Drosophila melanogaster: one gene and its partners. The gene in region 3 interacts genetically with the main gene of each other region. Each region holds a gene or a part of one and is shown on either strand. Other genes may lie near its edges. The genes, in order: Lam, Kr, hb and bnl.

Region 1 (6,483 bases), on a different chromosome or scaffold from region 3:
TGCTTGTTTATGCTTTTGCAACGGTTGCCAATTTCCACGATTAACCATTTAGAAAATGGTGTCCGATAGTCATTAACTAAGTTTTTCGATACGAGTTATGCTCACAGAGCGCTGGACGTTTGGTTGTACGCGTTTAACCATTTGCAAGATGGTGGTTGGCTTATACGGAGGGGATCAAGATCGAATGTTCGATATCGCGTGGCATTAACAAAATAATAACTAATTGTCGTGATAGCGGTGGATGCGAGGTGGAGAAGTACGAGCATTTTGGTTATGAACACGTTGATATTTACATCTTGCATGAACTTTTTGCAAACGGGACGAATGTCCTTGCTCAATGTGGCAGAGAACATCATCACTTGTTTGCCGTGCGGCGTGCTACGGAAAATCTCTTGAACGTCACGACGCATATCTAAAAGAATGGTTTGGTTATTAGTAAAACGTCCGTCATTTGGTGATTATTAGTCAACTTACCCAGCTGCTCCAGCATCTTGTCGCACTCGTCGAGCACAAAGTGCTTCAAAAGCTTCAGATTAAGTTTCTTGTTGCGAATGAGGGCGAGAATTCGGCCAGGGGTGCCCACCACAATATGCGGGGTGCCGCTCTTGAGGGTCTCCTCGTCCTTTTGAATAGCCATTCCGCCAAAGAAGACAGCCACCTAAATAGAAAACATATCGAATTAATATATAGTAACTATATAGTCGAACCAAACTTTTTGTTGAATTATATACAATGGATTAAAACGTAGACTCACCTTGACTGTGGGCATGTACTTGGAGAATCGCTCATACTCCTTGCTGATCTGGAAGGCCAGCTCGCGGGTGTGGCACATGACCAGGACGTGGCAGGTGTTGTTGTCCGACGGCTCCAGCTGCTGCAGCGTGGCCAGAACGAAGACGGCGGTCTTACCCATGCCGGACTTGGCCTGACAGAGGATGTCCATGCCCAGTACGGCCTGCGGAATGCACTCGTGCTGAACTGCAAGCGGAGAGCATCGTTAGTGACTGTACCTTTCGTCACTCCAGGTGGAGTGCAAGTACTCACCCTCCGAGGGATGCTCGAAGCCGCAGTCCACGATGGCGCGCAGGATCTCCGGTTTCAGGAGGAAATCGCGGAAGCCGGAACTGTGAATGGACACATAGGTGCCCTTGACATCCTTCTTGGGGGCCTCCTGGTTTTCGACCGCAGTGGTCTCGGTCTGCTCCTCATCCTCGTAGTCCAAAAGATCGTCATTGTCGGCCATTTCTGCGGCTTTCTTACCTTTAACTAGTTATCGGCTATAAATTCGCAACTAAATGCTGGGAAATAAAATGGGTGCGACTAGATAAGTTACATGTGTTTGTTAAAGAAAATGCCGCTTTTTTTTGCGGAACCGGTGCCGGCGTTCCCTCCGCCATTTTGTTTTTTCACCGCACCGCATTACATGTATTTCGAAATAAAACGAAATACCCATTACAAGCGACGATTTTATTTAGTGCAGTGTGATTTTCAGTGTCAAACTCACCTTTTGTGCACGTTTATCACTTTAAAATACAGCTTTTAAAGTGAAATTAACTATTTTAAAATCTTTAACGTGATGCGGAGGAAAAAACAGCGCAGAGCAGTGTGACCGAAGTACGTTTAAGAACTCATGCGAGCTGAGCCGGGTGATATCGTTAAGTTATCGATAGTTGTGCACAACAAATCCATTTGTAAGCTTCAACTAAAAAGTTTTTATAAAATATATGCCTTCTAACGCTTTAAATTAAAATGGCTTGTTGAGCTTAAATTTAATTTTTTTTTTATCATTTTGGGGTCAAGCGGTTCTTAGTCTTTTATCTAGCGCGGCGTTTGGTCACACCAGGCATGCCGGAAAGTTATCGATTAGTCTCTGAAACCATCGCAACAAATTCGATTACACGTTCCAGCGTCGGCCGCGTTTTCCTGCTGCAAGATACTTCATTTTCAAATTTGTGCATTTTCCGTTCGTTATAAAAAGTCAGGTGAGTTGCGCTGCTATCTACGAGCATTAGGAAAACTTGTAGAAAAAGTTGAAATAACTGATTAAGTGCCGAACAATAGAGGCGGCACTGTTTCACTCAAAATCGAAATAACCCCCCTGCCTGTATTAGTGTAAAGTCGCTGTAAATATTGAATTAAAATCGCCATATTGTGCAATTTTTGGCTCCTTATCAAATCGTTTAAAGTGCGTCGACTGGATTAGCTAAGCGTTGCGATTGATTAAACTAGTATTAGCCGCGCCATTTGCCTCCACGCCCATAAACAAACGCCGACAAACTCACTTCGTTTTCCTCGTCCGCTTTAGTACAGTCGCTTGAGTGGAAAGCGATGTGCGTGTGTGTGAGTGAGACGTAGAGGAGACTGCGAGAGAGAGAGAGAGCGCGTTAGAGAAACTCGTTTAGCTTCTGTTTTTGAGCGTTTTGTGCGTTTCCCCTCTTTCGTGTTCGGTTCTGTTTGGAATTTTATCAGGGCGCAAAAATAACATACCCTACACCGAACGAAAAAGTTCAAATATAAGTATTGCATATAAAACGCGTTTAGAAGGCACGCAATTGTGTTATTCAACTTTTCTTCAAGTGTTGTGTCCTAAAGAGGTCAGTCACAAAAATCTCACGTGTTATTCTGCACATTTCATTTGTCTTGCAGCGTGAACATGTCGAGCAAATCCCGACGTGCTGGCACCGCCACGCCGCAGCCCGGCAACACCTCCACCCCCCGGCCGCCATCGGCGGGTCCGCAGCCGCCGCCGCCGTCCACTCACTCGCAGACGGCCTCCAGCCCCCTCAGCCCCACCCGGCACTCGCGCGTGGCCGAGAAGGTGGAGCTGCAGAACCTGAACGATCGCCTGGCCACCTACATTGACCGGGTGCGCAACCTGGAGACGGAGAACTCCCGCCTCACCATCGAGGTGCAGACCACCAGGGACACGGTCACACGCGAGACCACCAACATCAAGAACATCTTCGAGGCCGAGCTGCTGGAGACGCGCCGTCTGCTCGATGACACAGCTAGGGATCGCGCTCGTGCCGAGATCGATATCAAGCGTCTCTGGGAGGAGAACGAGGAGCTCAAGAACAAGCTGGACAAGAAGACCAAGGAGTGCACCACTGCTGAGGGTAAGTGCGTGGAAACTGAATCGATAAGAAAACCTTATAATTGTAGGGCAAAGAAAGTAGAGTAATGATAAAATTAAAAGTAAGAAGAGACAAAAGGCGTGGTTTCAAGCAAGAACGAAACATTCATTTAGTTGCTGAACTGTATATAATGATTATCCCATGATATTCCTCACTTTCTGTGACAAAATCATCCCTATTCTGGCATTTAACGAACATTAATTGATTGATTATCCCAACCCGCAGGCAATGTCCGCATGTACGAGTCGCGCGCCAACGAGCTGAACAACAAATACAACCAGGCCAACGCCGATCGGAAGAAGCTTAACGAAGACCTGAATGAGGCGCTAAAGGAGCTGGAGAGACTGCGTAAGCAGTTCGAGGAAACGCGGAAGAACCTGGAACAGGAGACACTGTCGCGCGTTGACCTGGAGAACACCATTCAGAGTCTGCGCGAGGAGCTCTCGTTCAAGGATCAGATCCATTCGCAGGAGATCAATGAGTCGCGCCGCATCAAACAGACAGAGTATAGCGAGATCGACGGTCGCCTCAGCTCCGAGTACGATGCCAAGTTGAAGCAGTCGCTGCAGGAGCTGCGCGCCCAGTACGAGGAGCAGATGCAGATTAATCGCGATGAAATCCAGTCCCTCTACGAGGACAAGATCCAACGACTGCAAGAGGCCGCCGCACGCACATCCAATTCCACGCACAAGTCCATCGAGGAGCTGCGCTCCACTCGTGTGCGTATCGATGCGCTCAACGCCAATATCAACGAACTGGAGCAAGCCAATGCCGACCTCAATGCGCGGATCCGTGATCTGGAGCGCCAGCTGGACAACGATCGCGAACGCCACGGTCAAGAGATAGACCTTCTCGAGAAGGAGCTCATTCGGCTGCGCGAAGAGATGACGCAACAGCTCAAGGAGTACCAGGACCTTATGGACATCAAGGTTAGCTTTAATACTTGTCTAAAATCGTGTACGTATTAATACATAAATCTAATTATCCTGCTTAGGTCTCCCTGGATTTGGAAATCGCCGCATACGACAAGCTGCTGGTGGGCGAGGAGGCTCGTTTGAACATCACCCCAGCCACCAACACGGCCACAGTGCAGTCCTTTAGCCAGTCGCTGCGCAACTCCACGCGAGCCACGCCATCGCGTCGCACTCCCTCTGCTGCCGTGAAGCGCAAACGCGCCGTGGTCGACGAGTCGGAGGATCACAGCGTCGCCGATTACTATGTGTCCGCCAGTGCCAAGGGCAACGTGGAGATCAAGGAGATCGATCCCGAGGGCAAGTTCGTAAGGCTGTTCAACAAGGGCAGCGAGGAGGTGGCCATCGGTGGCTGGCAGCTGCAGCGGCTAATCAACGAGAAAGGTCCTTCGACCACTTACAAGTTCCATCGATCGGTGAGGATCGAGCCAAATGGCGTGATCACCGTTTGGTCGGCGGACACCAAGGCCTCGCACGAGCCGCCATCGAGCCTTGTGATGAAGTCACAGAAGTGGGTCTCCGCCGACAACACTAGGACGATTTTGCTGAACTCCGAGGGCGAGGCCGTGGCCAATCTGGATCGCATCAAGCGCATTGTGTCCCAACACACATCCTCCTCCCGGCTGAGTCGTCGTCGCAGCGTGACCGCCGTGGACGGCAATGAGCAGCTCTACCACCAGCAGGGCGATCCTCAGCAGTCAAACGAGAAGTGCGCCATTATGTAAAATCAAACGCAGCACAACACAACTCTTTCCTCTTTGCTGAACAAGACAAACAAAATAAGCACACACGAAGATCATAATTTAGAACCCAAAAACACACACACCGAGGTACAGAGATTTATTATTCAGCTAAGTTATTTTTTGTGGCCGCAGCGCCAATTATTTAATCAAAAACATTTGTGTAGAAGACATCCTGAATCTTCGTTTCGTTTGTACACTTTCGTTTTCCCTTTCTTAACAAATTCTATAGTTTATTGTTTCGATGTTTTTGTATTTCCGCGTTAACTAATCTATTGTAAACTTTATTTGGTATAAACTGGAGAGGCATGTTGCCTCTTTTTTATGCCACATAGAATTTACGTAAGACGTTCACTTCTTGTATTCGCGGCGGCAAGAACTTTGAAAATATTGCAAGAAAAACAATATTTTCGATGTACTTACGCTCCACCTACATATTTAGTAAATTAGTTTTTAAGCTATATCCCAGATAAACCAGTCGACGTCAGCAAACAACAACAAAAAAAAAACAACGAGCACGTAGTGAGTGATTTATAAGATACAGGTCAAGAGGATTAACTAAAGAAAACAAACGCTCCTGACAACAGACATATTTATTTAAGTATTTTTTGTACAATCAACATAAAATACATTATACATTATACATACATATACATACATACATTATATATATAGACTCATGCCTACGGAAGTGACAACCAGCCAGCAATATATATTTTTAGCCATGGCCATAGGGTTTACGATCCACCAAAACGGCTTTCTCCCGGTTTAGACCGGTTCTTGAGCTTCCTGCAGACATTTTACCGGACGAGCAACAATAAGAACAGCAACAACAACAACAGCATTAACAGCAACAACACAAATGTACAACAATTACAAAAGCAACAAAGAAGAAAAACGAAAGAAAATGGAAGTACACGTAGCGGCTCAGCGATCCGTCGCATTTTTTATGGGTGGGCGTGGTCGCGTTTTACGCCGGCCAAACAAATGCAACGCCCACACAGACTATTATACAAAAACTGATGAATACAACTAAATTTTAAGTACATCTACGTTTATGTATGTAATTGCTAATAATTTGATAATTAAAAAATAAAGAAACCATGTTTAATAAAAATTAAAAACAAACTTTGATTTAGCAATAGAGAGAAAGACATAAAAAAGTATTAAATAGTTTTAAAGCGTATACTGAAACCAATAAGCTCCTACGAATTTCGTAATAGTAGGGTACGCATTTCACTTTCGACGCCTGGTGGCCCTTTTTTCGTCACTCGCTTTGCGTTTCTATTCGTCGCCATGAGTTATTTTTGGAATTTTAATTTTTCTGCGTCTGTATTAGTTGCCTACATGCTTTTTCAATGCGTGTGTTCGCTCATAAACTTTATTTTTGAGTGACTTATCGATTATTTTTGAGTGCAGGACGTTTCAAAACCAACGTGCTTTCGCATTTATAAATATAATTTCTCTTCTTCTTCCGACCATGATTGTTTCTTTTAAAAATGTTAGGTGTCAACCCTGTCGATAGAGAAGAGAGCAAAATCCACTCAAACGAAACGCACTCAACGCGAGAGATGCGGTTAAAGTTCGTTCAACTGGCAAATGCAGTGACCGTTTAACCCGCGATAACGATAACAAAAG
Region 2 (7,059 bases), on a different chromosome or scaffold from region 3:
TTGGATAAGCGCCAGTCTTAGAATTTGTGAGCAGAAGTCTGCTGGTAAAAATTATAATTTTTCAGTTTAAATAATAACGACAGTAAGTTGGGTGCGTCGGCGGTTCTTTGCCAGCGAAGGCCTTAAATTCATTTTCAAGGCCTTTTATTTTTCATTCCTTTGCGGAACACGAAATATTTAAAAAAATCGTAAACTCATTTGAAAGTTTTCTATGTCCAACACCAAACTATTTACTCGGCAGCTAAAAAAAAAGCTTTTGAGGGTGAGGATTGGGGGTTCGAATAAGATATACGTACCTATCTACACTATAAAACTGGCAATTACCAGTTTATTCCCGTTTCTTCTTTTAACTTATTTATAATAAGCTTTTATTGGTAAAATTAGGGTAAACAGTTTTAGCATAAGGTTTATTTGGCTAACATTACGTTTAACTTTTTAATTATTGAATTGTTTTTATTTACGTATACGCTCATAGAGTATGTTTACAGAAGTCTAAGCGAAAAAAGCCTAAAATGCTAATAAGCATCACAAAACGTGAGCATTTGTCCTGCGTCTCACTCTTTTACTCCGTTTTATATATGTACGTGTGTAAGTACATAAGACGTTCTTTATGTAATACTTGTACATACAATTTTATATAGAGGGGGCTGCCAGGATGAAGCCTTTTTTGGCTGTTGAAAGGGGCACAAAGAAGAGAAGGCGTCAGTTCCGCGGCATGGCTGAACGGGAGGCGATTGGTATGAGTGGGTGGCGTCGACTTTCTTTCATAGCATTGTAGATGTTTGCTCTCTCTCTCTGGAGATTAAATGGAAAAAACACTGTGACATTTTCTGACTGCGCGGCGCGATTTTTATATTCGTTTTTGCTCAGCTGCTGCCGTTGCCTGCAGACGTAAATTTAAATTCCAGTGAAGGGATGGATGAATAAAGGGGGTGACGTGGGGAGGAACGTGGCGACGGCATTAGTGGGGCGTCTTGTGGCAAATGTAAAATAATGCGAAAGGGCTTCGTTTGCATAAATTAAAAATTTATGTAATGCTGCCCGTTTTCTCTTTTACGAAAAATCGAAGAAAGCTGTGGGTAATTTTCTAAAGCGGGGTTGCTACGAATATTTTTTGCTTTACACAATTATCTCATATGTATATACATATATATACATATATATATTTATATTCATTTATTTTTGGTTTCCCAGACAGCAATTTTTAAATTTAACATAATATATTTCGATTTTTATGTAATAAATACATATTTGCCGATGTATACATATGTATTTATTATTGATATAGGTAGAACATTAAATTAGAGAAGAAATAGTTATGACAAAAAGTAACAGTTTCGTTTACTATATGCTAGACTGACATATCTAATGCAATCATGTACCATAAAATACATTTTCTAGTTTATATTTACTGACGTATTTTACAAGGTGTATGTGTGTATGTCTTTAAAGGGTTAAAATTAGCAACCCCCTAATTAACACATATAACTCTTATTTTTTGATACATTGCACATCCCTAGCCACAATTAGGATTATAATTTATTTACATAAAAATTGACTTGTGATTTTATAAATTTAATTATATCTATTGGGTTAAACGTCGAATGTTGCTGTACACAATTAATATGATGTCTTTCGTGCGCTGACTTTCAAATGATTAGAAATGCACTCTCTATTTTAGTTTATAGCTCTTGTATTCTTTTAATCTTGAGGAACTTGTATACCATACATTTGAATGAACAAAGAAAATTACATATTAATTTGTTACATTATTATGACTACAACGTTTTAAAATAAAAGCAGTAAGCTTACCAATGAATAGAACGAAAAATTGCACTAAATTTATTTCAAATTGTTATTGTTATATACAACCTTATATACTTTTATATGTAATTTGAATTGGCCTAGTATTTAAAATTAATTTCTTATTTTAGGTCCATTTAAATATGCATCAAAATTTTAATACATATAAATTGTTTATGCTTCGTAGTTTATATTCCTAAGTCTTGTATATAAATTCAGTTGAATTGTACGATTGCCAAATTGTTGAATGTATATACTGTTTAGCTCACAACAATTTCGATACAGAGGTATTGGAGGTATTTGGTTATAGCAATTTCTTCCTGTGTATTTGGTTCAAGTCTTACAATTAAAACTAATAGTTACGAGTGTTAAGATAAGTGGGATTACTATACTTTCGATACGCATTGATCTACATTAGGTTATTATTTTGGAATATATATTAACGTTTCTTATAGTTTGCAACAAAAAAAAAAAGATTTTCAAAAATGGATGCGTAAACTGTGTTTAAGTTATGGCAATATGAAATAAAAGCGGAATCAGTTAAATATTAACGTTACCATTGATTTTCTTTTTTCTTTATTGTTTATATTTGAAGCAGCAACAATTAAACCAAATATTTATTGAAGTATAAATATAAAAGTGTACATTTAAGAATGATCTTTAAAAAAACAGGATTAACTAAATTTTTATATTTAATAATAGTTTTAAATAGAGAATGCAAACAGAACAATTATCAAACAAATGTTTTTTATTATTTAACTTAAAGTTAGTTTTGATTTGAAGATTATTGGCATTGTTTTCTTAAAGAATTTGATTAAATTATAAAAAATTAAGCTAATAAATTAAATAAAATTAGTTATAGATTTCCTAATTAAACTTCGTGTCTTTTATTTTTCTGCAACAATGCATGTTTAGAGCGCCGATTACTTTACAATTGGCAGCTGTGTAAGCTGAATATGTACAATTTAAGATTCCGAACCTAAGAATATAACTTAAATTTAAGGTAAAGAATGGCACGACATTTTCGATTTGATTTGGTGGGGTTTGGCGGTAACAAGCATACGGTATGGCTTACTTTGTACAATTTCGACTTTTTTGTATGTTATTTTTTTTTAAACTTGTACTTATCATTATATTCCTGTTGCAACAATTTTTACTTTCCACTTTGAAATAGCAAAATTTTCAATTTTGTGTTAATAAATGCCAGTCAATTTCATCAAATGAAAACTGATTAGGGCTATGTACAATTCGGTGTGGTACTGGCCTAATGTTGTTGATGGCCCATATAAGAAGCCGGGGCATCATCTAAATCATACAAGTCAATATCATCGGTTTGCTCGTGAGATCCGATAGAGCGAGGAGAGTGCATGCTCAAATCCTCTGGCTCGGTTTGCTCAGGCATATCACTGGGTACGTGAGGGATTTGCGGTGGAGGCAGCCGGAAAACCCGACGAATGTCCTGTGCCTTGCGCCGTGCGATGTTGCTGCAATGGCCATCCACAGAGCTGGCTCCATCTTCAGACAAATCCAATGGACCATCGTCCTCCGGTGTCGCTTTTTCCATGTCGACCGACTCATTCGAACCTCCGTAGGTGGCACACATTGCCGCAAATCTATTCGTGGATGCCTCGATAGCAATTGCGGAGATTGCCACGGGGTAATCTCCACTCATGGCCGGTGAAAGCGCGGGAGTAGGCGGCGACTGGATGCCACACTTGTGATTCATCAGATGGTGGCGCCGTCGGAACTTCATGTGACACCGTTCGCACTCGAACGGCTTTTCACCGTTGTGTACCAGCATGTGGGACTTAAGCTGATTGGAGTCACTGAATTTGCCATCGCAGATTTCACAAGTATAGGGACGCTCTCCAGTGTGGACTCGCAAATGTCGTCTAAGATTGGCCACCTGAACGAATTGACGATCGCAGTGCGAGCAATGATATGGTTTTTCTCCAGTATGCAAACGCATGTGGGTTTTTAAGTGATGGTCACGAGTAAACCGCTTGTGGCACTCCGGACATTCGAAAGGCTTCTCACCGGTGTGGGTGCGTTCGTGGTTCTGAAGCACGTGCTTATAGCCAAAGCTGCGTGAGCAGATTTTACAGGTGAAGCTTTTGTCGCGAGATGGATCCTTGGAGACACCGACACATCCAGCATTTCCACCCGCTCCGTCGTGCGTTGAATTAGGAGAGCTGCCACTGGAAGGCGGAGATATTGGGCCTCCCGATGTATGGTACATATCGTTTACACTCATGCTGATCTCGGTCTGAAACTCCTTCTTAACCGATAACTTTCGAGCCTTCTTCGCTGGCTCATGGTGCTGGGGAGTGCTGTTGGGGGAATTTAATGGGTGCTTGCCACTACCTAAAGGAGTGGACAGCGGCGAGTGCGGGCTGGCTGGCGGCGAATGTAAATGCGTACCCTGGGGCGGGAGCGACTGTTGGGCAGCCCAAGCCCCAAACAAAGCCGCCGGATTGTGTGGAAAGAGAGTGTTGGCCAATGTGCTCATGGGCAGTTGGGCCATGAATGCGGCAGCTTGACGGTTTGCAGCCAGAAGTTGGGTAGGTGAGAGCATTCCAAAAGCTGAGGCAGCGGCCGCCTGTTGGAGACCCATAGCTGGATAAATCGCAGCGGCGCTTGTAGCTGATGTGTTGGCCGACATGGGGGGCGATAGCGACATGGAACGGTCTAGATGAACGTCCTCTTGTTTTATGCCAGCTAATGCAGCAGCTAAGGCTAAAAAAAAAATCATAAGTTAGTATGTTTTCATTTGGAAATGTCTTAAGAGCAACGGCTTAAAAGAGAAAAAAATTTTACATATGATACATGTGTGAGAGAAAGTTTCGTACGGAGAGAACTCTTAGTGTTTTCGCAGCTCTCTATTTTCGTCTAACTAGTTTTTGTTTTGGTCGATAACGAGTTAAGTGCCGGTTCCTGTCCAAACATGTAAACAAATTCTAACTAATCGGTATGTGTGCAATTACATTACATTTGTATTTTCTATCCTAAAGACATCGGACTGTTTAATAATGAGAAAGTGATCGGGGACTCTAGAACTTCTAGATAGTTTACAAACTTGGGGAATATTTTAATTTGGTCTAATACTTACTTCGCGTTTGTGCGTCTTGAAGCATTGATATGGACATCAACAAATTCTTCTTGTGCTCCTAATTTTGTGCTCGCGCAATGTTTTCCCGCACACAGAAAACACCTATAATATTCGCCTTCGTGGTTTTGGAGCTTCAGTTTTTTAGACAACAAAATTTCATTTGAGCAATTTGTGCACTTTCAGGGATATGAATAATTTTTGTACACACTTTTGTACTTTGAGGTAGAGAGATTTCACAAAAATTGTCTTTTATAAAAGTTTACCGATTTAGCAAAATGAGGTAGTTGAAATTTGATTCGATTATATTACTCGCGGTTGTGTGTGGCACAACAAATGGTTGTTCCTTTCGCTGACAGAGCCAAATCACGACTGATACAAATTCGCTGCGTGAGCTAACTATAAGTACGCTCTGTCTCGGCGAAAGATTCTCACTCACCCTCGTACGCACACACGCCGGGACTCAATTGGCTCTCCCGCTCACACGCACGCAAATAAGGGTGCAGACAGGAAGGGAAATCATCACGGCGAAAGCGAAAAACGATCCCCAAGCCTGAGCAGGTAAAGTAAAAACTGGGTACTTCGCTGAGTTGAGTGAGTTGATTTCATCGATTCCTTTTTATACCTAAAAGTGCTAATTTTTCATATGCAAATTGGTGCGAATGAGACAGCTAGAGGTTCCTTTCAATGCAAAAGATATATAGTCAGTTAGAGTCAAATATGGACGATGTGGTTTTTTAACATAGGTTGTCGATGCGAATTATCTTCGCTGAGTAGAGGGTTTTATGACCTTTACGTTTCTAGTCAGTAATAAAACATAAAAAATCAGAACTATGTGTTGACCGTTAAAGGACATTTTTTAATGCTTATGACCACTTCCGCTTGTGTTTTTTAGAGCCTTCATAAAAACTGCACTTGCAGGAATATTACACCACATAAAGATCACGTAGAAGTTTTTAGAGTTAGTAAGGGACGCACAACAAAAACTCACTCAGATGTGCCTTTGTCATTTCCCCTTTTTACATTTGAGCTATAGAAAATAACTAATGTGTCTAAGGGGGATGAACGCCAATGGAGAACAGGGCGAAAATGAAACAGCGAGAGCAAAAGAGCCAAAATTCATGAAAAGAGATGTCACGGACGGGGTTGAATTTCAAGCGTGCGCTGTACGAGTAAACAGGAAGTAAACAAAACATCGGCTTAAGGAGTGCAGAAAGTAAGAAAGAAGGTCGACGGTTTTTTACCAGCTATACTGAGTGAGTTTTTTGTCTTCCTTGTAGCCTGTTGAGCAAAGTCTCAAAGACGTGGAAGTTCAGTTTAATGGACAACTAATTATTGGCACACGTCTAAAAAAGAAATCGTAAAAAGGAACTAGTAAAAAACGGATTCAGGTAGAAAGGAAATATAATAAAAAATTGTAAGAGAGCTGCATCGTTGAAATTTTCTTGCTTGTATAGACGTTTTCTGTGACTTTTGCGGATTGACTTTTAAATGGTTTTATGTAGATTTTTATGGCAAGGACATGCTATGTTAAATTTATGTTGAAAATCGGTATTTTTGGTTTTGTAGGTAGGCCAAGGACGCTCAGAGCTCACCGGGTGGTAAATTTGAACTACCGTGGATTTTAAGAAAGTGAAACCAAACAAAAGCAGAAAGGCACACAAATATCCTTGCTCTGCATAATGTTACGTAAAATTATAATGGTTTTGTCATCGAATGTTCGACTTCATAGAAAGTTTTTCACCAAAACAAAATTCGCAGAAGGCATTAAATAATATGCAAGCAAAGCGCTTAAAACTGACCCTATTGATAAGAAATTCTTAAATTTCGGGCTGAGCTGACCGGTTTTAGAAAATCTTCATACGATTCCTATGTTTCGGCGATTAGTCAGAAATTTTTTTTGGTTGTTTGCGTGATAAGCAGAGGCTTGATATTGAAAGATCCACTTAAGCTCAACAGATTTTAATAAGATCCGGGCCTTATCGTTAATGACTTTGTCGGCAATCACTAAACTAGAATAGTATCAAAGCGAGTAAAAGAAAAATAGACTAGATTTTGATTGGCAAAGCGAACTAAAGATTTCCGAGTGAATGGGGCAGAAGTGCGTGTAAAGTGCGTATGGTCGAGGCCGCTGATAAGGTCCGAAATAT
Region 3 (8,030 bases):
ACGATTATATGATAATAGTGATAAATAATAATAACAAGGTGATGGTGATGGGGAACTTAGGAGTGAGCATTCCTGGCCATGTGAACGAAGAGGCCGACGGGTCCGTCGCACTTCTCGCCGCACATGTTGCACTTGAACACATCGTCGCAGCTGTGGTAGCCCATGTGAATGGTGTAGAGCACGGCGTCCTTGAAGAAGATATCACAGTACTTGCACTCGTAGATGGCACCCGCCGCCGCCGGAGTTCCGGATGGAGGAGCTGCAACCGCTGAGGTGGTTCCATTGCTGCTGGAATTGCTGCTGCTGTTGCCGTTGCTATTGCTGCTGGCATTGGAGCTGTTCCCCGAGCTGGACGCCGTCGAACTGGCACTGGTATTGGCCTGCGGCACATGGGCCGTCTCCATCGACTCATCTGCCGAACTGGTGCCCGAGCAGTGCTCCTCGGGCATGGGTTTGCGTCCGGCAATGGGCGAGGATGCAGTTGGCATGGGTGTGCTGGGTACTTTCAGTTGCTCGGGAGATGTCATGGCCTCCGATCGCAGTTGTAACAGGGTGTCCAGCTTGAGGACGCGTCCCTTGCGTCTCGAGGCATTCGAGCTGCTCATCAGAGGCGTGGCCTCCTCCTCCACCTTGAGATTCATGGCCAGCGGCTGCTGCGGTTGTTGCTGCTGCTCATCCTCCTTCACTGGCGTTCCTTGGGACAGATCCATGGCAGAGTCCACTGACTTACGCTCGTACTCATCGTCCTGCTCCTCCTCCTCATTGTCGCTCTGCTGCTGGTTCTGTTGCTGCAGTTGCTCTCGCATTCTTGGCGACAATTGGGCCAAGACAGCGGCCTGTTGTTGGGCGGCCAGCATCTGGAGATTGAGGTTCCAGTAGGGGAAGAAGGCCATGTTGCGGTTCTGCTGCAGAAGGCTGGCCAGAGGAGGCAGAAGATTGGCTGGACTGGGCAAGCTGGGCGTCTGTTCCACACTGGCCACACTCTTGGCAGGAGAGGCGGGCAGCGGGAGCACTGGAGATGCCGCCGGAGGAGCGGAGTTGCCTTGAACCAGAGGGAATCCTTGCAGGGCGGCACTCAGCTGAGATGTGGCGACTGGCTGAGCTGGCTGAGATTGCTGTTGCTGCGGAGCGACAGCTGCAACATTTGACTTCCGGCTGCCGCTGCCACTTCCTCCACTGGCAATCGGTCCACCATTCTTGCTCTTCGGACCACGACGCGTGCCGTAAACATCGATGACCAACGAGGGATTCGGGGTGCCATCCTCGTCCAAAACCATGCCGGGCTTGTGACCATACTTGCGCAGATGCAGCTTGAAGCTGTGGCAATACTTGGTGGCGTAATCACAATCCGCACAACGGTACTGATACACAGAACTGTGCGACTTGCGGTGCGAGTTTAGCATGGATTTGTTGACACACGTGTAGCTGCATTTGTCGCACTGGAAGGGCTTTTGGTTCTTGTGCTTCCGGATATGGTACTCCAAGTGGTGCTTGAACTCGGTGACGAACGGGCACTTCGGGCACTGCAGGATCTTGTCTGGTTTCATGTGGGTGCGGGTGTGCGCCCAGAAGTCCACCTTGGTGATGGCCACCACGCCGCAGGTCTTGCACTTGTAGTTCTTCATCTTGCCGTGCGAATTGTAGATGGGCATCCGGATGTTGGTATCATCGTCCTCGGACTCGGCCATGTACTTCATGTCCTCGCTGGAGTTCGACATCTGATCGTGCTCCTTCTCCGGCTCAATATTCGACTGACTCGACTTGGCCGGCGACTTAGGCGGTGTGACATCCATGGGTGGTGTTAGTGCCTGCAACTTCTCGCTGCTGCCAGTGGCAACTGCAACGGGCGCAATTGTGGAGGCAGATGTGGGCGTGGGCTGCGGACTGGGTCGCAGATTGCCGCCATAGAAGTGCTGCATGGGATTGGGCAGACCAGGTGGCGTCAGCGGATTGAATCCACCCATCAGATGGTGATGGTGATGATGTTGCTGCTGGGCTGCCTGGAAATGCTGCTGGTACTGCTGTTGCTGCAGCAACTGTTGCTGCAAGTTAGCATCGTAATGCTGCAGGCTGTTTTGATCGTTTTGGCTGGGTGATGGGGTCATGGCGCACAGGGTATCCATGGGTTGCTGCTGAAGCTGCTGCTGCTGCTGCTTGAGGAACTGTTCCAGGTGATTGGTCGAGGGAATGGGCGATTGGCGCGGACTGCTGGCCACGCTATTCCCGTCGAGATGATGACCTGGCTCCTGTTTGATATTTGCCGCGAACATGCTGTTGTACCAGGCGTTGTGCTGCTCGTAGTTGGTCGTGGCTGTCGTCTCCCAGTTCTGCATCTTGGCGGCTCTAGACGGCTGTAATGGATAAGAAAACAGAGAGAGTGGGGTTAGTGGGCATATTCATTTATTCATTCATGCACTGCGCCTGCGTCGAGTTTTTTCCTCTTTTTTTCCGCTTGTTTTTCATTTTATTTTTCCTCGCTTTTATTTTTTTTTTCTCTTTTTTTGGTGTGCTTGCGGCACCACCCCTAACAAAAAATACGTCAGGGGTGGCTGGGCGGCACCCACCCCCTGAAGGCGATTTGAGTGATTTTGTGTTCAAAATGGAGACACTTGGTAATGGCTAACAATATCCTACCGTTTCGTGGCCGCTCAGTGCGTATGATTGCGATTGTATCGAAGTATATTCCAAATTTGTCGGGATTTTCGTAAGGATTTGCAAGTATATTATTGGTGCTGCTTCTGTTGTGTTGTCGCAGTGGTAACAAACTCGTGACTGACTGAACAATTGCAACAGGCATTAGTTTATATATCGCTCAGGTAGACGGATGCACGCGTCAAGGGATTAGATGGGCAGAGGTGACGGGAAGTCAGGTACAGGTCGCGGATCGGTCGGGAATCGAGGATCACGGATCGCGGATTGAGGATTGCGCTCTTGATCCATTCTGGATTAGAGCAGAAACAAAAAATTATGCGCACTTGGATTTGGATGATCCGGGAGCTTAGCGGATGGCCAGCTTAGCAGCGAGCTGCGAATTTTCCACCGGTTTTCTATGGGGATTACGTTGGTCAGGAGTCGACAGCAGGAGTAGGCAGCTAGCGTGGGCAGTTTCGTAGTTAATAATAAAAAGTAAAAAGGATTGCGGGACTTAACTAAATTAACGGATCAGAACTGCTTACACCTGCGGGAAAACTCTAAGGACCAACTAAACTATATGCATAATATGTGCAGTATAATTATTACACACCCATTTGAAAAACATTTTCCTGACAACAATTTTCCGCCAGACATTTCACTTTGATTTGCGTAGTTTTTCTAATAATTCTCGCATTAAAATTGCTTGTTGCCTATATTTTTTCCATTTCCAATTTCACACTGAAAAATTGTGCAGTTGCTGCATTTTTGGCTAATTGTTTGTGCTTTCAAGTAAATATTATTAAAAACGCAAAACGGGAAAAAGGGGCATTTACGGAATATTATTATGGGAGGATGGTGCTGTGCTATCTGGCAGCTAAAATATCTACAATACTTAGGCATAATTGATGGTTCAGGAAACAGAAAGTGCACCACACAAAATGAAGCTTAGCATATTTATTTAAATTCGCTTTTGTGGATATTTTTAAAGAAAGCCAAAATTAATTGCTCGGCAAGTGTGTTAGTGTGTGTGCGCACTATGAAACAAAGAGAATTTTCGCCTTTCGTCTGGGCTTTTTTGTGCCATGCCCAACAACAGCAACAAAGCCAAACTAAAGGCCAAGTGTAAAATTAATATTACGCCGGGCAGGGGCATGGGCCAAGGGGGCAGGGGTGGGGGCATGGGGACCATGCAGTGGGGGTTAGTGGCGTGGTGTGGCCACAACGAGTGCAGCCAGGCAACCGAAACTGCAAAAGTAAACTAAACATGTGCTAGTCGTTTTTGGTGCCTCCCCCCCCACCCCAACACCGCCCCCTTTTTAACCCTCTAAAAATATCATGAAAATGGCAAAAATGGAAAAATTCGAAAACGCAGAAAATGCGCCACACAAAAAATGTTTTTGTTGAAAAATCCGTACAAAAAGCAAGCCAAGAGCAGGATATGCCTGCTTGTTTGCAGGCGTATATAAAATATATGTATGTATGCGTATACATATGTGTAGTTGCAACCGTTATGTTGTTGGCTTAGAACAACTTGTTGTTTTTTGGAGCTGCATTCGTTTAGGGAAAACTGCACTGCTGCTGCTGACTGAAGTGATTCAATGTCATTTGCGGTTTATAAATATATCCCGTATAATATGTGCATATTTATTTTTATGCGCCTAACAAAGCCCCATTTGTTTGAAATGCGCTCAGTTCTTTTTGTCGGCAAACATTAAAACTGTCGGATGACAATCAATTCTGCAAAAGATCGTGCAATAATGATTCCCATCATCATCCTAAACAAAAAAAAAAAACAAAGCCTGCGAGCGTCACATAGGTGTATTCATTATATTTGAAATGCATTTTGGCAAGTGCCGAACTATTTGCCATTAAAAAATTGCCACGTTGACTTTGAATTATAGTTCGATGTCTAAATTTAAATTATTAAAAAAGAAAAGTCGAAAATGCATTTGCCGAAAGAAGAGCGAAAAGAAATGCTAAAAATTGAAGGGGTTATTTGGGGGGCAGGAAGGCGAAAAAAAAACAACATGAAAGTCGACATGTAAACAAATAAAATTAGCTGTCAGGCGTAGAGGGGGGCGTGGCCAGGGGCGTTGCTTAGGAGGAGCAAATGAGGAGGGGGGGGGGTCGGTTGGGGGTTGGATATACGCTGCAGTTCTAGGCAAAAACAGACAGAGCGGGCAAAAAACAAGTTCACCCGAAGATCGGCCAAAAGCCAGACAGATTTTAAAATATTGTTTTAGAATTTTTGCCATTTGCATTTTTAGCAATGATTTACCACTCTGTGTGGTTGTGTGTGTGCATGTGTGTGAGATCTCTTGTTTGTGTTCCTAAGGTTAGACAGAAAAAGAAGCACTCGATTACAAACAACAAGAAGAGAACAAGAAAATGTGCAGAACTAGAAGAAAGTTGAGTACTTGGGATTAAAGGTGATTATGACATAGAATAAGCAAATTGGTTATCAGTCATCAGATTAGCATGAATTAATAAAGTAAAATACATTAAGCATAGTGCATAATAGCATATAAACGAACTATTTAAATCTGTTTCTTTTGAAAGTATATCACATGATGAATTATAATTAAACAACTATATATCGAATATATTCTATAAAAAAAAACAGATTTCGTATCAATTGAGAACTAAATTAAAATTTACAGGGCGTATGTAAATCCTCACAAAAACTGTGTATATTCTGGATACCCCAACATTTTGGCATTTGCTCCCGCAAAAGCGATTTGTAATTCTTGTTTATTTGTTTATCCGCGGAAAGCTTTTGCGAATTTCTACCTCCATGTGTTTTTTACGATTTATTGGAGGTCGAATGCAGTGTATAACTAGGATATTGGATGGTACGCCCAGTTACTTACCTTGCGGACAGTCCAAGTGCAATTCTGCGGGAGAATTTGGAAACGGGAACCGGGAGCAGGAGCAGGAGCACGTAAGTTTTCGCTTTTCGCTCGCGGACTCTCTCTTTCCCACTCTCTCGCTTGACCGCGGCACGGTTACCGTTAGACCAACACGCACAGTGCGTGCGAGGGGGAGCGGCGATGTGGGGGCTCCTTGCTCTTCGTTTTTGTCTATTTTTTGGGCCTCGCTTTTTAGCTTGCTTTTGTGCTTTCTTTTTCGCGGAATTCGCGCATGTGCGGGATGTGGTCTTTGCCAAAAAATAAGTTTTCGGGACAAAAGTCTTTTTGCAATTGGTTATCTTTTAGCACAAGCACGAAGTTTAATTGTATTTAATGGCAATATTTGTTTTGATAGCAGTTACGTTTCGTCCTTTGGATGTTTGGTTATTTTTGTATTTCAGTGGCTGCCTGTCAATGCTGGCGACTTTCGTTTTCGGGACTCGGAGCACAACTGACCAAACTCACGCTCAGCGGGCTCTTCTAATAGCTGAAAATCTCCTCACTGCTCCTCACAACAGTGCACTCGCCAAAAAAGAACTCAAATCTAAAATCTCAATTGCAAAGCAAAAACAAATGCCAGAAGTGCAACAACACAAAGGCGCACGAGAGCCGTTACACGGAGAAGCAGAAATCGAAATGAGAGAGCAGCCGGAGAGCATCAACAACGTAACGACGAAACTCACTCAAAACGGATACGGATGCTAGCTGTAAATCTGAGTGACTTTCCCCATCCCCAAAAGCAATAACTAAACAGCATCCCCTTCGTGGCGTTCGCTCTTTCACTCACTCACCCACTCTCTCGCTCTGACTCGCTCATTTTATCCTTTTGCATTTTCTGGCGCTGCATTTTGGCCGAATGCAGCTGCCTTTTTGGCTCTTTGCCGTTTTTTGGCATCTCCGCTTCACTATTGATTATTGATTTCTGGCCCAAAAGTGAGAGAGCGGAAATGGAGGAAGATGGGGGGCCTTCGCCAATTGTTTTTTGGGCAACTTTAAGCCCAGACACATTAACAACTTAGCCAACTGCAATTGGGACGATGGAAGTTTGGGCCGAGGAGATTCCTTGTTGCTTTAACACATTTTCCTGTTGCTGTGCGTGTTAACTTAATTTGGGCAAAGCTTTGCCACAATTAGCATTCGAAATTCCAAATCTCCTTAAGGTAGTTTGTGCATATTGGGTGTATTCCACCTTTTTAAGCTAATTTCGGAAAATGTATCATTGTTAGCTTGACAAGGATTATGGTTAGCAATAAATGCATATCATTAATAGTATCATTCGGTTTAGACCAATTTTTTTCCCAAGCGGAATGTTCGCTTTTAGAATGATAAATTAGGAGCGATTGTTCTAACTAGGTTTAATGACAAATTTTGGACTAAAAAAAAAAACTATTATTATTATTCATTATTCATAGTTCATTGGTAAAAACCTTTTTTTCTCTATACAATACAAAAGGATAACTTATTATTTGTATGGATCAGAGTTTTTCTAAAGAAAACATACATGCAAATTCATAATTAAGTTCGGAATTAATGTGCCTCCAGCTATTTTATTCAATCTCCTGTTTATGTGGAATATTTGGGCTAAAATCTCCTGTTTATGTCGAATATTTTGGCTAAAACTAAAGTGGAACGGGGAGAAATTAGGGCGTTGGCAGAGGGGGTGGGGAAAATGTAAAAGCAATATTTACAAAACAACAGAGCAAACAAATCGCCGCCGGAATGCAAATTATACAAGTTGCTCTCACATATCCAGAGGAATATATGTGTCAAAAGGACGTCTCGGGAACAGGTAGTACCGGAGGTAGACCTGCCATTGACGTTGACATGGCAAACCGGATTACGAATACGAACTGCAACCGGACTTAGCGAAGAAAGGATTAAAGGACGCAAAGCTACCTGATCGGCCCGCCCAGTTCATTAATCCGCGCATCCGAAGAAGTGCGACTGGAACTAGAGTGATGTGGATTTAAAAGCGATTTAAAAGTTGGCCGTACTTCTGCACAGGACATAATCCAACATTACGCAGTACGCAGGATCACGCAGGATCAGCGCCGCTGATCCGGAGGATCCAGTTAGTCCCGAGCGATTAGCGTTCGCTGATCAGCCCGATTAGCGTTGCTTAGGCGGGCGGGTGCTGTGTGGATCCTACCCAGTTACGTTTGGAAAGTTATGTAAAGTTGAAGTTAAGGACATAACAAATAGTCCCAAGGACCGTCACGCTTGACCTTTTAATTGATGAGCTGCGATATACCTATCCGGTGATCGGGACAAACACAAACATGCTGATGATCATGATCGTCTAATTGCCGAAAGTCCATGCCACGCATGCAAATGATCCTTATCCTTAACCTTTGGCCTGCGGCTGTCTCAACAGAAGTTCCTTCGAGGGGAAGATTGGGCAGATCAACAGGGCGGATCCGCACATCTTTATCTCATGATCTTCGCATCTCCCAAATGATATGCAAATGTATCTGTAAGATGTGCAGC
Region 4 (4,730 bases), about 11 Mb from region 3:
TTCATTTTGCCTTTTTGTTGCTCGCTTTTTAACTGAGCGGTGTACCTAAAGCTGTTGCCATGTGCGATCGTGTGTGTGCGTCTCTAAATGTATGCCGCACATTATGTGGTCTAGTGTTCACGCTTAATTAAAACAAACGCTACATTTTTACTGAGTTTCCCGCATTTTCCGCCTTCTTTCGCCGACTTCGGTTGACTTTATATTCCGAGTGTTATGCGCCACTTTTGGGCAAAAAGAAAAACAAACCGCAAAACTATTTACGCACGGCCATAAAACTTTTTTCTTTTGCATGCGATAAGCTTTATCTATCTACGAATTATGATCGTTGTATTTCAAACTTTGGCTCCACTGGGCTTGCTGCCCCATCAATCAGGCACAATTTGTAAATGTGTCACAGGCCCAAGCGAAAAGTTACCCAACTCGTGCGTTTCAGAACTAAACCTGATAATTGGCTGGCTTTATGACATCTGAAGTCCGAAGGCATGCACGACAGTCTCCGGGGAAATATAAATTCCACGCGCAACTCTTTTACTACCAAAATATAAATTTACTTTTCAATTAATTCGGGACTGCCCATGCAATTTAATCACTTCAATTGGTTTTTCTGCATAAACTGATGTCTTAATGTCTAAATTTACGGTGGTCTTTTCAATTATTCAATCGTTGACGTAGCCAGAAACCGTTTCGTAAGCGGTACTAAACAATTAGCCAATTATTTTCTTTGCCCTTGGGGGATATTCATTTTTTAGTTGATGAAATTGTGACGTGAGAACTTTAACGGCAAAGGAAATAAAATTTGATCGGCATTTGAAGAGGCACAATTCAATTATGTATAATTAATGTATGAATCTTTATCGCTTATTTTTGGTTATTAATAAGTTATACAATTAGAATTAGAAGATAAGATTTATTATGGCTTATGTAAGTTAGCAAAAAAGATTAACTTGATTATAATACTAACTAATAGCCCTTATTGCTGGAACAATTGTAAACCAATAAAAAAGTTATGAAAGGAAAGTAAAAGGTAATAAACCAAAATTTTAATATTTTCCCTAGACCCCAGATAAGTTTGAAAAATGACCAGAAAAAATCTGAAAATACCAAATAGTTAATAGCTTCTACAAATAATGACCCTGATTTGAGTTAAGCACTCTTCGCTGCCATTAATTTTGAAGGATATCACCCGCTAGTCCACACAGCCGAAATTCATTCAGTTTATTCTTTATCGCGATCCCCATATTTCGCACTTTGTCTGTCGCTCGGCTGTCCAAACTGTGATCCGGCATGTGATTAGCAGTTGTTGAACCCGACGCATACTAGCGTGCGGCAATAACGCAAATTCGCACACAGATACAAAATACAGATACAGATACGCAGCGCAAATCATCCGCAGGAAGAACAAGAACAACAAGCCAGCTTAGATAATAGCGCACAAATGTTAGATAATAGTCAGCGCCGCCAATTTATAGGACAAAAAGTGCACGCGCAGAGTGAGCAGAAAAAAAGTTTATTGCGAAAAAGTTAGCGAAATGAGATTAAAAGCGCCTGCGTGCGTTTGCAAATAGAGATACGCACAATTCGCATATACGCAGATACAGATACATTTCAAGACGGCGATAAAGATTCGCAAATGTATATGCGTTTTGCAAAAAAAAAAACTATAAATAATCCCAAAGATCGTGTGCTTAAATTTATATGAATTTCGCTTTCATAGAGTGGGTTCTCCTAAGGTCGTTTGCTTTCACCGGTTGGCAAAAAAAAACATTTTGCTACATTTTGTTTGCTTTACCAATTGTTTATTTGGGGCAGATAAACGCGGAAAAGTACTTGGAAAAACTAGGCTGCAAATCAAATTTAATTCGCTTATACCTAAATGCAATCAGATTACGTTTTAAGTGAATATCATTCTGCACAGGTATTGATCAATCAAATCAAATATGAACTAAATTATTTCAATTAGCATGCCACTAATATAAATTAAGTTTTTGCCCATTTGCTTTAGCTTGCTATTTGTTTGTTGAAATCAATTTATTTCGTTTTTATACATATTGCTATTTAATTACTTTCCCTCGTGGGTCATTTAAATACACTTATTACTCGGCCCGCTGCCAAGTGGAAAATGTTTTAAATTTATTTTGAAAGTTACCAAACAAATTGCCACATTTCAACGTATTCAAAATATTTTATTTAAATGCCCAACATTGCGCGACCAAAGAACACTGAAACTCTTTATAAATTTTAGTATTTCAAAACATCAAATCTAATAATACAGAAAAACATATATTTTTTCCGTTCGGCAAACTTGAAACTTTCAATAATTTTAGGCTTGCTTTTGCTAAGCTCCAAAGACCGAAATCCAATGAAATATTTTGCAACATTCGAACAAATACTTGGAGGAACAACAAACTTATTAAAAAAAAGAACTTATGTAACAGCGTTGAAACAGAAAATTACGCACCTAGGTTTTATGTTTGTTTGCTTTTTTTTCAGTTTTACGATTCTTTTTTTGGACGCGTTGTATTCTTCGTTGATTTTCAGAGAGTTGCACTTTGCACACTTTAAAACTTACGGCAACAACAATTCAACATTTTCATAATTTTTTTCTTATATTCCTTTTTCAAACACAGCACAAATCATATATATATATTTATTTTTTTATATATTTTCCGATCTTCGAATTGCTCGCATCTAAACGATTTTTTTTTTTTATTGCGGGCTTTTCAAATTGTAACGACTCTCTTGGATTGCGAAACGAACATTCGTGTTTCAAATTTCCTATCCGCCGAGATTATTGTTTCGATCTCCTTTGAAAACGATTGCACACAAAACCGGAACATCGAGTACGTTAAAACGGAGCGATTACGGACGCGATCACGATGATGGGGTTACGATTAGAGATGGTTAGGATGTGCCAGATGGATCGGATCGGATCGAATGGTAGGTCTGAAAAATTCGAAAACGCTGCGGATGCGGATAAGCGGACTTCGAGTGCTACTGCGACTGCGGACGCTCCGCTCACTGTGTGTTCCCCAAGCGTGCTAGTCAGAGACTGAAGCCATGAGCAAAAAGACCCTGTCGATGAGGCGACGCTTCGTGCGTTCACGCCGAGCACGTTTGCGACGGAACGAGCACGAGAGAGAGAGTGCGATGCGGTGCGGTTCGGCGGGAGGGAGACGGAGAGAGTGAGAGCAAGTAGTGGGCGAGTAAGGTAAACGCCAAGAATGGTGGTCGGTGGTCAGCTGTAGTGAATGGTGGTCGGTCGGTTCCCTAGGTGTGATATGGGGTTTATCTGTTATTCCCAATTCATCCTTCCGATCTGACGAAACTGCGGCTCAAGTGATTGAAACGCTGCCAACTCGTTGATTCATCATACATTAGCGTCAGAATCAAAAACACCGTTATAAAAGATTTGTATTTCGTTCGTTGCTAATTTATACTTTGTAGCTGAATAAATTATAAATTTTAATGAGTGGTTAAAAACTACTGTGTTACTAGCTCAACATTGTACTCAAACATTAAATGCAAAATATGAATCAATTTTTTTTTATTTTTTGTGTACTTATTTGTTGTATTTAGAAAATTATTTTTGGATTTTAAGTAAAACAAACAAATTCTGTTAGTGTTTGGGGTGGTTAACTGTAGTCATCTTAATCATTTATGAAGCCTACTTTTTCTTACTCTAAATATCTTAAACGGTTACATGGTAACTATCTAACCGAAAATTCTGAAATTTTTTGGGCCACAATGTAGGCTACAAGGTGTTATCTGTCACTAGAAAAACAACTTTCGAACATAAAGCTCAACTAAAATGTTCTATATATAAAAAAAAAAATATATATATATATATATATAAAATACAGTAGTCTACTAATTTTTGTTAGAGTTCTGTCACTATAATGAGCCCCCTAAGTCGACGGCGACAAATCACGTGACGGTTTTCAAACAGACATTGTGAAAGGGAGAGATTGCAGTTGCTTTTTGTTTTTGATTGGATTGCGTTTGGTGGCGGTTGTGCTTTTTGGCGCGTAGACCTTTTCCAGTGCTTTTGACGTATTTCGCCAGGTAGCGTGGACTTGCACAAATACCAATTAACTAACAACACAAAGTGCAACAACAAGCGTCACCCAGTACCCTTTATTATTCGGCTAAACATTGCCAGTGAATCAGTCGCGTGGGAAAGCCAACTCACGATAGGTGCTAATCGCATCGTTGTATTCGCACTGATAAGGTTTGAACTTTGACCAACTCATTTGCCTGTGGCTGCAATAAACCACAAAACCTATTTCTGACCAACCGAAATTTTTGCTAATTTTAGATGTTGACCAAAATTTAGCCCCAAAAATACTGTCACACGGCAAATTTAAAAGTTAAGGCAGCTATGCGCGAATTTCGTTGAATACAAGTTTATCTTATCTATTTAGAAGGCGCTTATAAAAAATCACATGGTGCAGATACCCATATGTGTGTATGAATGAACTTCAACTTGACACTACAGAAATTGCAGAAATATTCCGGGGTAGTCGCCTACGTCATTCTTGATGACAGCGTCATTCAGTGGGTGGGTGTTGCCGGTGGAAAGTGCGGGCTTGCTACTGATTGGCAAAGTTTTACATTGTCGCTAAGACTATATAACTGCTATAAAGTAGCAGTTTTGAGAAGGCAATGTTGTTTATTAAAGCCATAAAATATTGTTTATCGTGTCATCTATCGTGTTTGGTACTTACAATTTT

What was found.
Region 1: of hb (region 3) and Lam, changing one enhances a phenotype caused by changing the other (phenotypic enhancement), as found in Drosophila melanogaster (one study listed by BioGRID).
Region 2: of hb (region 3) and Kr, changing one suppresses a phenotype caused by changing the other (phenotypic suppression), as found in Drosophila melanogaster (one study listed by BioGRID).
Region 4: of hb (region 3) and bnl, changing one enhances a phenotype caused by changing the other (phenotypic enhancement), as found in Drosophila melanogaster (one study listed by BioGRID).

Annotation. Positions count from the first base shown.
Region 1 is NT_033779.5:5,540,679-5,547,161, forward strand, and holds Lam (lamin), read left to right. Parts: upstream 1-1,801; 5' UTR 1,802-1,982; intron 1,983-2,100; exon of another isoform or gene 2,101-2,646; 5' UTR 2,647-2,653; coding exon 2,654-3,116; intron 3,117-3,359; coding exon 3,360-4,063; intron 4,064-4,128; coding exon 4,129-4,830; 3' UTR 4,831-5,964; downstream 5,965-6,483. Other genes in the region: Hel25E (helicase at 25E), read right to left, coding at 294-412, 475-658, 755-978, 1,045-1,243. UniProt on the Drosophila melanogaster protein: Lamins are components of the nuclear lamina, a fibrous layer on the nucleoplasmic side of the inner nuclear membrane, which is thought to provide a framework for the nuclear envelope and may also interact with chromatin.
Region 2 is NT_033778.4:25,224,842-25,231,900, reverse strand, and holds Kr (kruppel), read right to left. Parts: upstream 5,291-7,059; 5' UTR 4,950-5,290; coding exon 4,913-4,949; intron 4,540-4,912; coding exon 3,068-4,539; 3' UTR 507-3,067; downstream 1-506. UniProt on the Drosophila melanogaster protein: Krueppel is a gap class segmentation protein. It is involved in the segmentation of the embryo and in the differentiation of the Malpighian tubules.
Region 3 is NT_033777.3:8,691,822-8,699,851, forward strand, and holds the start of hb (hunchback), read right to left. Parts: upstream 6,002-8,030; 5' UTR 5,505-6,001; intron 2,780-5,504; exon of another isoform or gene 2,635-2,779; intron 2,352-2,634; 5' UTR 2,334-2,351; coding exon 57-2,333; 3' UTR 1-56. UniProt on the Drosophila melanogaster protein: Gap class segmentation protein that controls development of head structures.
Region 4 is NT_033777.3:19,833,804-19,838,533, forward strand, and holds the start of bnl (branchless), read right to left. Parts: upstream 3,015-4,730; 5' UTR 2,459-3,014; intron 1-2,458.